Caenorhabditis elegans: one gene and its partner. The protein of the gene in region 1 purifies or fractionates together with the protein of each later gene. This does not show direct contact. Each region holds a gene or a part of one and is shown in the gene's direction. Other genes may lie near its edges.

Evidence for each region. Proteins that work in one complex are often made in the same cells at the same time.
Region 2: the proteins of cpi-1 (region 1) and Y54F10AR.1 fractionate together in Caenorhabditis elegans (co-fractionation; one large-scale study listed by BioGRID). This does not show direct contact.

The regions. Positions count from the first base shown.
Region 1 is NC_003282.8:6,092,093-6,095,362, reverse strand, and holds cpi-1 (Cystatin cpi-1), read left to right. Parts: upstream 1-1,730; 5' UTR 1,731-1,745; coding exon 1,746-1,847; intron 1,848-2,139; exon of another isoform or gene 2,140-2,161; intron 2,162-2,294; coding exon 2,295-2,366; intron 2,367-2,441; coding exon 2,442-2,687; 3' UTR 2,688-2,760; downstream 2,761-3,270. Other genes in the region: K08B4.7 (Cystatin), read left to right, coding at 3,015-3,116. UniProt on the Caenorhabditis elegans protein: Cysteine protease inhibitor which inhibits members of the peptidase C1 family. Does not inhibit asparaginyl endopeptidase. May play a protective role against exogenous cysteine proteases derived from soil bacteria or fungi, or rotting fruits and vegetation.
Region 2 is NC_003281.10:2,571,639-2,577,260, reverse strand, and holds Y54F10AR.1 (Phosphatidylinositol transfer protein N-terminal domain-containing protein), read left to right. Parts: upstream 1-1,575; coding exon 1,576-1,592; intron 1,593-2,004; coding exon 2,005-2,199; intron 2,200-2,257; coding exon 2,258-2,575; intron 2,576-2,633; coding exon 2,634-2,754; intron 2,755-3,873; coding exon 3,874-4,035; 3' UTR 4,036-5,103; downstream 5,104-5,622.

The DNA.
Region 1 (3,270 bases):
ATAACAGTGGAAACGAAGAGAAATCGTTGAAAATCGAGAAGTAAAATTTAAAATATTTTTCAATTTGAAAATTTTGTGCATTTTAACGTGGCGGTGTTTGCGTACATTTTGAATTTTCTCATTGTCGACCGTAGTTTTCGGTAATTATTGTGAAAAATCGGATGTTCAAACGAACTTTCGTTTGAACATCCGATTTTTCTACGCGTGGAGATGAGTTGTGTGTGTACTCCACACGGACAAATACATCAGTTTTACAACTAGTTGTAACTAAAAACGAGCCGCGAAGCCACACGCAACGCGCCGTAAATTTACACAAAATCTCTCCGACCCAAAATGCAGCCTAATTCGTAAGGTATTGTTGATTTTTATTTCATTATCTTTTCTTGCTAATTGAAAAAAGTCACATACAAAGCGCATGTTTTATTAAAACAATACTTTTTTCCGATCACATGCTGTTATTTTGATACAGTTTCGGTAGAACTTTTGATTTTAGTCTTTACTTTTAAATCTCGCCGCGATTGTACTGTAAGTGATTAAGATATGTATATTACGGGAACAATAAAGCATGATAATGCGTACTTGGTGCATTTTATTTGACGCGCGATATCTCTTAGCGAAAACTACAGTAAGAGCTTAAATATTTATTGTTATTTGAGTTCTTACTGTAGTTTTCGCTAAGAGATATCCCGGGTCAAATAAAAGCACCAAGTACGCGTTCTCATGATTTCTTGTTCCCGTAATACGGTACGATCGCTTTGAGGAAACTATGGTGTTTTAACAATGACTGTGAATTCTGTCTTTCTTTGACGATATGAAACTTCATGATATTAAACTTCCGTAGCTAATTAACCAATGCGGGATGTTTTTGACCCGGGTGGCCGACAGACAACATTTTAATGGAATGGAAACGACTGCCCGGCTGCCCCAATCACGCAAACCTTGATAACTATTGTATTCTTTCACGTCTCCCAGAGAGCGTAATAAATTATTAATTACCAGCCGTGGACCGCACCTACGGCGCGGCCCCCGACTTTTTTGAGAAAACACATTAGATATACGGTGTCTATCGCGGACCTCGATCGATGTCTGCTGCGCATTTAGCATAAGGTTTCCCAAAATTTCGTCGCTCTGATCAGAGATCAAACTACATAGGGACAGAAGGACACGCGCTTTATATATAGTAAATGATTATTATGTGTTGACTAAGATCGTGGCAAGATCCACACGGAAAACATCGTGTGGCTTTATAAAATCATGTGAAGGTAAAATTCGCTTTTCTAAAAATAAAGTTCTTCAGTTCTGAAAGATTGGAACAGCCCTTCATTTAAAACAAGTTCACTTAACTTGAATGTGAAACAGTAAATTATTTATACAAAATTTTGTAAATATTTTTTGAACTAAAACGTAGTTTTGAACTCATGCCTTGTTACTTCATTTTCAGAAGCTCTGGAATTTCTATCATTGCTTTCAGGTGCAAAAAAACTCTGCAAGAATTCCTGAAGCGGCACTTTTTTCCAGAAAAACAGAACATGCAAAAGTCGAAAATAATTTATGAAATGATATCATCATATTCAGTTGTAAACAAACTTTCCAAAGGAAGATAATGAGTCATAGCTGTTGCAATGATCGATTCTTTCTCTTTTTTCAATCAAATTGTTGATCTTTAGCTGTCTCGCTCTTATCACTCACCAACTGACTCTTATAAAAGCAAACGAATGTTGACATATTTTGTGACAAAAATAAAAATGCGTTTCATTCTTCTTATCGCACTTGTTTTCGCTGTTCTTGACGGAATAAATTGCCAAATTGCTGGTGGATTGTCTGATGTGAATGCCTCTGAGTATACTGTAAGTTTTACTTAGGCTTTTTGTTGAGAAAATGCTCATTTTGTGAAGATTTCTTATATTTTTTAAAACTATAGTTGATACTTACTCTTAGGATACTTAGTCCGGTTTACTATAATTTTAATTTCTTTCAATATTCGATAAATTCATTTTTTTAAACAAAAAAAACTGGAATAAAAATTTAGCGCTTTGAAAAATTCAATTACGACTCAAAATGCTTATAAAACAAATTAAAATTAAGAGTTTTAATTTCAAAACTGCTATTCAAAACTAATTGGCACTTCGCGCAAAATTTTAATAAATGTCTACTGGTTGAACAGTATCATTTAAAAATTTTGTGCACAAATGTAAACTGTGAAACAGTGAAAAAATTCATATTTCGAAAAAAGATTTTGGTTACCGTAATTTTCAATTTAAAATATATATGCACTTTTAGTTATGAGTTTTCAGGGAGCAGCTTGGAATTCGGTGCCGGAAATAAACAGTAAGAATAATGGACAAAACTACATGGTTCCAATTAAGGTAGGTTTACTCCTCAGAGGCAAAAAATGCTGTTCAAAAAATAATACTTTGCGCTTTTATAACACTCTTATTTAGGTTGTTAAAGCTCAAGTTCAAGTTGTTGCCGGAACCAATACAGTTTTGGAAGTTCTTGTTGGAGAGTCAACTTGTCCGAGACAAGGATCAGTTCAAGCTTCTCAAGTCACTGCTGCAAATTGTCCATTGAAGTCTGGTGGCAAGCGTGAACTTTACAAAGTGTCCATTTGGGAGAAACCATGGGAAAACTTCAAGCAAACTAAGGCTGAAAAAATCAGAGGTGTGAAACCTGATGAAAAAATTTAAATTAAATCTGGTGAATGTATTCTTGCTTTCTGTACTATTTTAAAAAATTGCTAATAAAGAACTTTGGTTTTTGAAAATAGTTGCTGCGTTACGTACTTTTCTTTCCAGCTAAAACCCTAATATACATCTGAAGAAAATATTTTTTGAAATTATATCATTATATTCCGTTGAAAATCAATTGTCCATGGGAAGACAATGAGTCATACCTGTTGCGATGATCGATTTTTTTTTGAATCAAACCCTTGATCTTTTGCTGTGTCCTGTTCATCACGCACTCCCTCTCACTCCTATAAAAGCAAACGAATGTTGATATACTTTGAGACAAAAATGCGTTTTATTCTTTCTATCGCACTTCTTTTTGCTGTTCTTGATGGAATGAATTGTCAAGTTCTTGGTGGATTTTCTAATCTGAACGCTTCCGAGTATACCGTAAGTTTTCTTTTTGTAGTGCATTTTAAAATTGTGCGTTGGAAACTTTTAAAGCTCAGAAATTGGAATAATTTGAGTTTCTTAATTTAAAAGCGAAACTATCACTCGCGCTACGTTCTTTCCAATAATATAAGTAGATTGAAACAGTAGTCGA
Region 2 (5,622 bases), on another chromosome or scaffold:
GTCATCCGTCACTTGTTTTTCCAACCCATTTCGCTCCTCTCCATAGTCGTTACTTTTTACTTTATATAGCCTCTCTCTCTCAACTTGACAGCGCACACGCTACTCCACAAACATGACATATTTAGTTTCTGCTCCAGCTCTTTTTTCTCCTCCGTTTTCCCCCCGTCCCGGGTGTTATCGATTTTTCGCCGCGCCGCCCTCTTTTTTTTGGGGAAGGCCATTTTTAATACTATTTTCCATCTTTTTTCCGTCTTCCTTCTTCCAAAAACGTTAAAAGAAAGGAAAAAAAAACGAATATTTCTTCCTCTTTTTCTTCCAAGAAAGGCTCGAACCCTGCTGTTAATCGAGAAGAGAGTATACGAAGTCACCGAGAGGAATGCTTGCGCATTTCGCGTGCCTAGTGAGTCGGCAAGTGAGACAGAAACACAGAAAGCATTCGATTTTCTCCTCGTTGCTGCGCTTATTGCTTCATCTATTTCGTCTGTCTTTTTTTTTTCTTTTTTCCGCTTTGTTTTTATGTTTTTTGCGGGTGTATGGACCTTAACACGTCATTTTTTGCAGTTTTTGCACTGAAAATTGGTCGGAAAATCGTTAAAACCTTCTGAAAACTCATTTTAAATTCAATAAAATTAAATATTCATCACACTTTTGTAGATCGTCGCGAGACCCGAGCCAATTCAAAGACCATGCACCTTTAAAAACCATTTCAAGATTTTTCGTGTATTATGCTCGCTTTTCTCTCGGAATTCCAATCGGAAATTAAAAATAATCTTAATTTTCACTTCGAAATCAAGTTTTCAATATTAAATCGTTAGAATTTCATTTAAAACCACCTAGAAATAGCTTAAATTTGTTTAAAAGTTTAAAAACTTGAAAATTAATTACAATTTCTGTAGATCGCTGCGAGACCCGAGTCTCTTCAAACTATATGCGCCTTCGATTACTGCCCTTCTCAAATTCGTTTTTTTCGCTTTTCCCACGGAAAATTGAGTGATTTTTCCATTTTTCCCTCAAGAAATTTCAAAATGAGAAAAATTTCGCAACACCTCTCTCTCTCTCTCTATTCATGATGACTAATAATTCTACGATTTCGCATTGTTTGGGAGAATTTTGTATTTTTCATGAGAGACGCCGTTAAAATTTCCAATTCCGATTTAATATTGTCATTTTCTATTTAAAAACGTTAGAAAATATATTAAATATTGGTAAAATCAACTTAATTTTACTAAAAAACTTTAAAAAATTCAAAAATTTATCAAACTTTTGTAGTTCGCTGCGAGACCCATCGGCAATTGGAACTCCGTGCGCCTTTAACTTTTCGATCAATTTTTTATTTTTAAATCCAAAAATTTTCAATTTCCCGCTAAAAATCGTTAAAATCTTTGTGAATTTCCTTCAAATTACGAAATTTCGCAATAATTTTCTTCTTTTTCTCGAATACCTTCCAAAATGCAAAAATAAAATCGATTTTCGCATGCTCTCCACCCATTAATCTTCCGTAAAGCTGTTTCCATGGCAACTAGCATAAAAAATTTAGTTTTCAGGTGGTTTCCTCCTCATTCGACACTCGCAAGAATGATTATCAAGGAGTAGTAAGTGATTTTTTTATTTTTAACGAAAATTTTGATTTTTCCTGGAAAAAATCGGTTTTTTTCCAGATTTTCCAACAAAAAAAAATCGGATTTCTCCATTCTTTTCCCAAAAAAATCGGATTTTTTCAAGATTTTTCCCGGAAGAATCGGATTTTTTCCAGATTTTTTCAAAAAAATCGTATTTTTCCAGATTTTTCCATTAAAATCGGATTTGTTCCAGATTTTTCCATTAAAATCGGATTTGTTCCAGATTTTTCCATTAAAATCGGATTTGTTCCAGATTTTTTCCATTCTTTTCCCAAAACAATCGGATTTTTTCCAGATTTTTTCAAAAAAAAAATCGTATTTTTCCAGATTTTCCCAAAAAAATTGGATTTTTTCCAGATTTTCAAAAAAAAAAATTTTTTTTCAGCCGAGTTGTGCTTCCAATGTCCGTCGAAGAGTACCAAGTAGGCCAGCTCTGGTCTGTGGCCGAGGCCTCAAAAGCCGAAACGGGTGGCGGTGAAGGTGTGGAAGTGCTCAAAAATGAGCCATTTGACAATGTTCCACTGCTCAATGGACAATTCACGAAAGGACAATATACTCATAAGATTTATCATCTTCAATCGTAGGATTTTCTTCTTTAATTCTGCGAAAAAAATTGGAAAAAAAATCAATTTTTTCAGGAAAGTCCCGGCAATTTTGCGAAAAATCGCGCCAAAAGGTTCTCTGGCTATCCACGAAGAAGCATGGAATGCCTATCCGTACTGTAAGACGGTTGTCACGAATCCAGACTATATGAAAGAGAATTTCTATGTGAAAATTGAGACAATCCACTTGCCGGACAACGGAACGACCGAAAATGCGCACGGTTTGAAGGGCGATGAGCTGGCGAAACGAGAAGTTGTCAATATTAATATTGCAAATGATCACGAGTATTTGAATTCCGGAGATTTGCATCCAGACTCCACTCCATCCAAATTTCAGAGCACAAAAACCGGGCGGTACGGGAAAAACCTTGAGATTTTTCAGTTTTTAAATTAAAAAAATCTGAAATTTCAGCGGTCCTTTATCTGGAAATTGGAAGGATAGTGTACAGCCTGTAATGTGTGCCTACAAGCTTGTTACAGTCTATTTCAAGTGGTTTGGATTCCAGAAAATTGTCGAAAACTACGCGCATACGGTGAGATTACGAGAGGATTTCGTGGATCGACAAAATGGGCGAAAATGCTCAAAAAACGAGCTTTTTTTTGTTTGAAATTTGTAGAATAACCCTATGTCGATTTACGCAGATCGTGTACTCCCCGAGGAGAAGAATTTCAAAGTTTAAAACTGAAATTTTCGATTTTCGTGGTTTTTTCATACTCAAATTGACAATTTATAGGGTTCTTAGGTGAAAATCAACAATTTTCACTTAAAATCTGATAAATGTAAATAAAATTAAATAAATAAAATCTGATAAATAAAGTTTTCACCTAAAAACCTAACAAACTGCCAATTTGAATGTGAAAAAACCGCGAAAATTGCCAAAAAGTCAAAAGGAAAACCTAGAAAACCTCTAATTTAAGTGGAAGAGGTTTTACACAGCCATTCTTCAATTTTCGAGCAAAATTTCGAACAATTCCGGAAAAAAACTGAAAACCGAGCTGAAAAAATGGAAAAATTTCGCATAAATGCTCGTGGAAATTTTCAAAAAAGTGGATTTTTACCCGATAAATTAATAAATTTATTTAAAAAATCTCAAAAATTAGCTTGAAATTGGAGAAATTTTCTTTAAAAAACCGCAAAAAAAAAGAAGTTTTCGAAAAATTGCATACGAAAAATGTAGAAATCGAGCTGAAAAATGCACAATTTTCGTAAAAATTTTTTTCCATCTTTTTCGCTGAAAATTTTTATAAATGAAAAATAAAAAAAATAAACCAAAACATTGCTTAATTTAATAAAAATTTCAAAAAGTGCGAAAAAATTGAATTTTAATTTTAAAAAAAGCTGGAAAACTGCGCAATTTTGTATAAAATCCTATAAAGTAAAATTTTCGAAAATGTTTTTTTTTGTTAACCCAGTAATCTACCTGAAAAATGGACATTTTTGTTGAGATTCACGTGAAAATGTTCAAAAATCAGATTTATTTCAGATTTTTCCAAAAAAAAAAATAATTTTTCCATTATTTTCCTTTAAAAAAACGGTTTTTTCGCCAAAAAATCTCGGATTTTTCCATTACTTTCCCAGAAAAATAGGTTTTTTTTTCTAGAAAATTCAGCTTTTTTCCATTTTTTCTCCAAAAAAATCCCAAATTTTTCAGCAATACCCTCGCCTGTTCTCGAAATTCCATCGGGAAGTATTCTGCTGGATCGATAAATGGCACGGCCTTACAATGGTCGATATTCGAGAAATCGAGGCAAAAGCCCAGAAAGAGCTCGAAGAGCAAAGGAAGAGTGGACAAGTTCGTGGAATGAATGGATAAATGGACCACCGGGCCGTGTTTGGGCTCAAATTCTAGTCTTTTTCCGATTTTTTTCATCGCTCTTATTTCTCTAATTCTCTCTCTCTCTCTCTCTCTCTCTCTCGCTTCCTCCCACCCATCCACCTGCCCCATGATGAACTGTGTGATTATTTGAGTAGTGTGAATTTTGGGAATTTTGCTTAAAAATTTCTAAAATTATGTTAAATTTGAAAAAAAAAGAAAAATCACGAAAAATCAAAAACTCTACTTAAAAACCGCTTTTTTTGAATTTCCCGCCAAAATGAGACTTTCGACCAATCAGCGATTCGCTCCACCCACTTTCGGACCAATCATTGGTCCAAAACTGGGCGTAGCGAAGCGCTGATTGGTCGCTGTTTTTTTTGAATTTTTTTATAGCAAAACATTCGGAAATTAAAAAAAAATGGCGAAAAATATAACTTTAAACTCGTAATTTTTGAATTCCCGCCTTCGAACTCCGCCCACCTGTTCTGATTGGTTGAATGATGGGCGGAGCGAATCGCTGATTGGTCGCAGAAAATCTCGTTTTTTTTGGTGATTTTTTGAAAATTTTCAAAGCAAATATTCCGAAATTTTGAAAAAATGCGAAAAATTTATAATTCCCGCCAAAATGTGAACTCCCCGACCAATCAGCGTCTTCGAACTCCGCCCACGCGTTCTGATTGGTTGAATGATGGGCGGAGCGAATCGCTGATTGGTTGACGTATTTTTCACTTTTTTTAAAAAATTTTTTGCCTATTTTTCGATTATTTTAAAGCAAAAGTCCCCATTTTTTCACACTGCTCCCCTTTTAAAAACTATTTTTTTTTTCTTATTTTTTTCGTCCCGGCGCCATTTTTTCACTCACTTTATCCACACACACCAGCTCCCACTCACTAGAATACATAGCTCTTTTTTGTCCTTAAAATCGACACCAGTGTGAAATCAACAACAAAAGTTGCTCACTATTTATTATATAGCTTCTGAAATGAAATGCAAAAAAAATCTCATATCACCCCGCACCCCCAGCTCTTTATTATAGAAAATGATAATTTATACAGTTTTTTTTTGTTTTTTGTGACCCCCCCCCCCCTCTTTTTTAGTAACAAAAAATCTTAAAATCAAAAATTCCAGAGAAGAATAAACGCATGTCTCATTTTATTTTTTGAAAAATTTTAATTTTGAGAAAAAACCAAAAAATCCGGTTTAGGAACCTAAATATTTCGAAAAAAACGACATTCTGGGTCTCGACGCGACGGGAATTTTTGTTAAATGCGAAAAGGTATGCGCCTTTAAAGACTACTGTAGTTTCGAATTTTTCACAGTTTTTCGATTTAAAAAAATTTCTGAAAAATAAAAAAAATCGATAAAATTTGCAATAAAATTCAGCTAATTTTGAAGTTTTTTCTACAATTTTTTTTTGAATTAAAATAAATTTAAAAAAACTTTAAAATGAGCTGAAAAATGCACAACTTTGCACTTTTTGGGTTAAAAATTGCTCAAAAATCGCAGTATTTCATCCATTTTCGAAATTAAAAAAAAAAAATTCGAAAACCCCGAAAAATTGATGAAAATTTGAAACTACAGTAC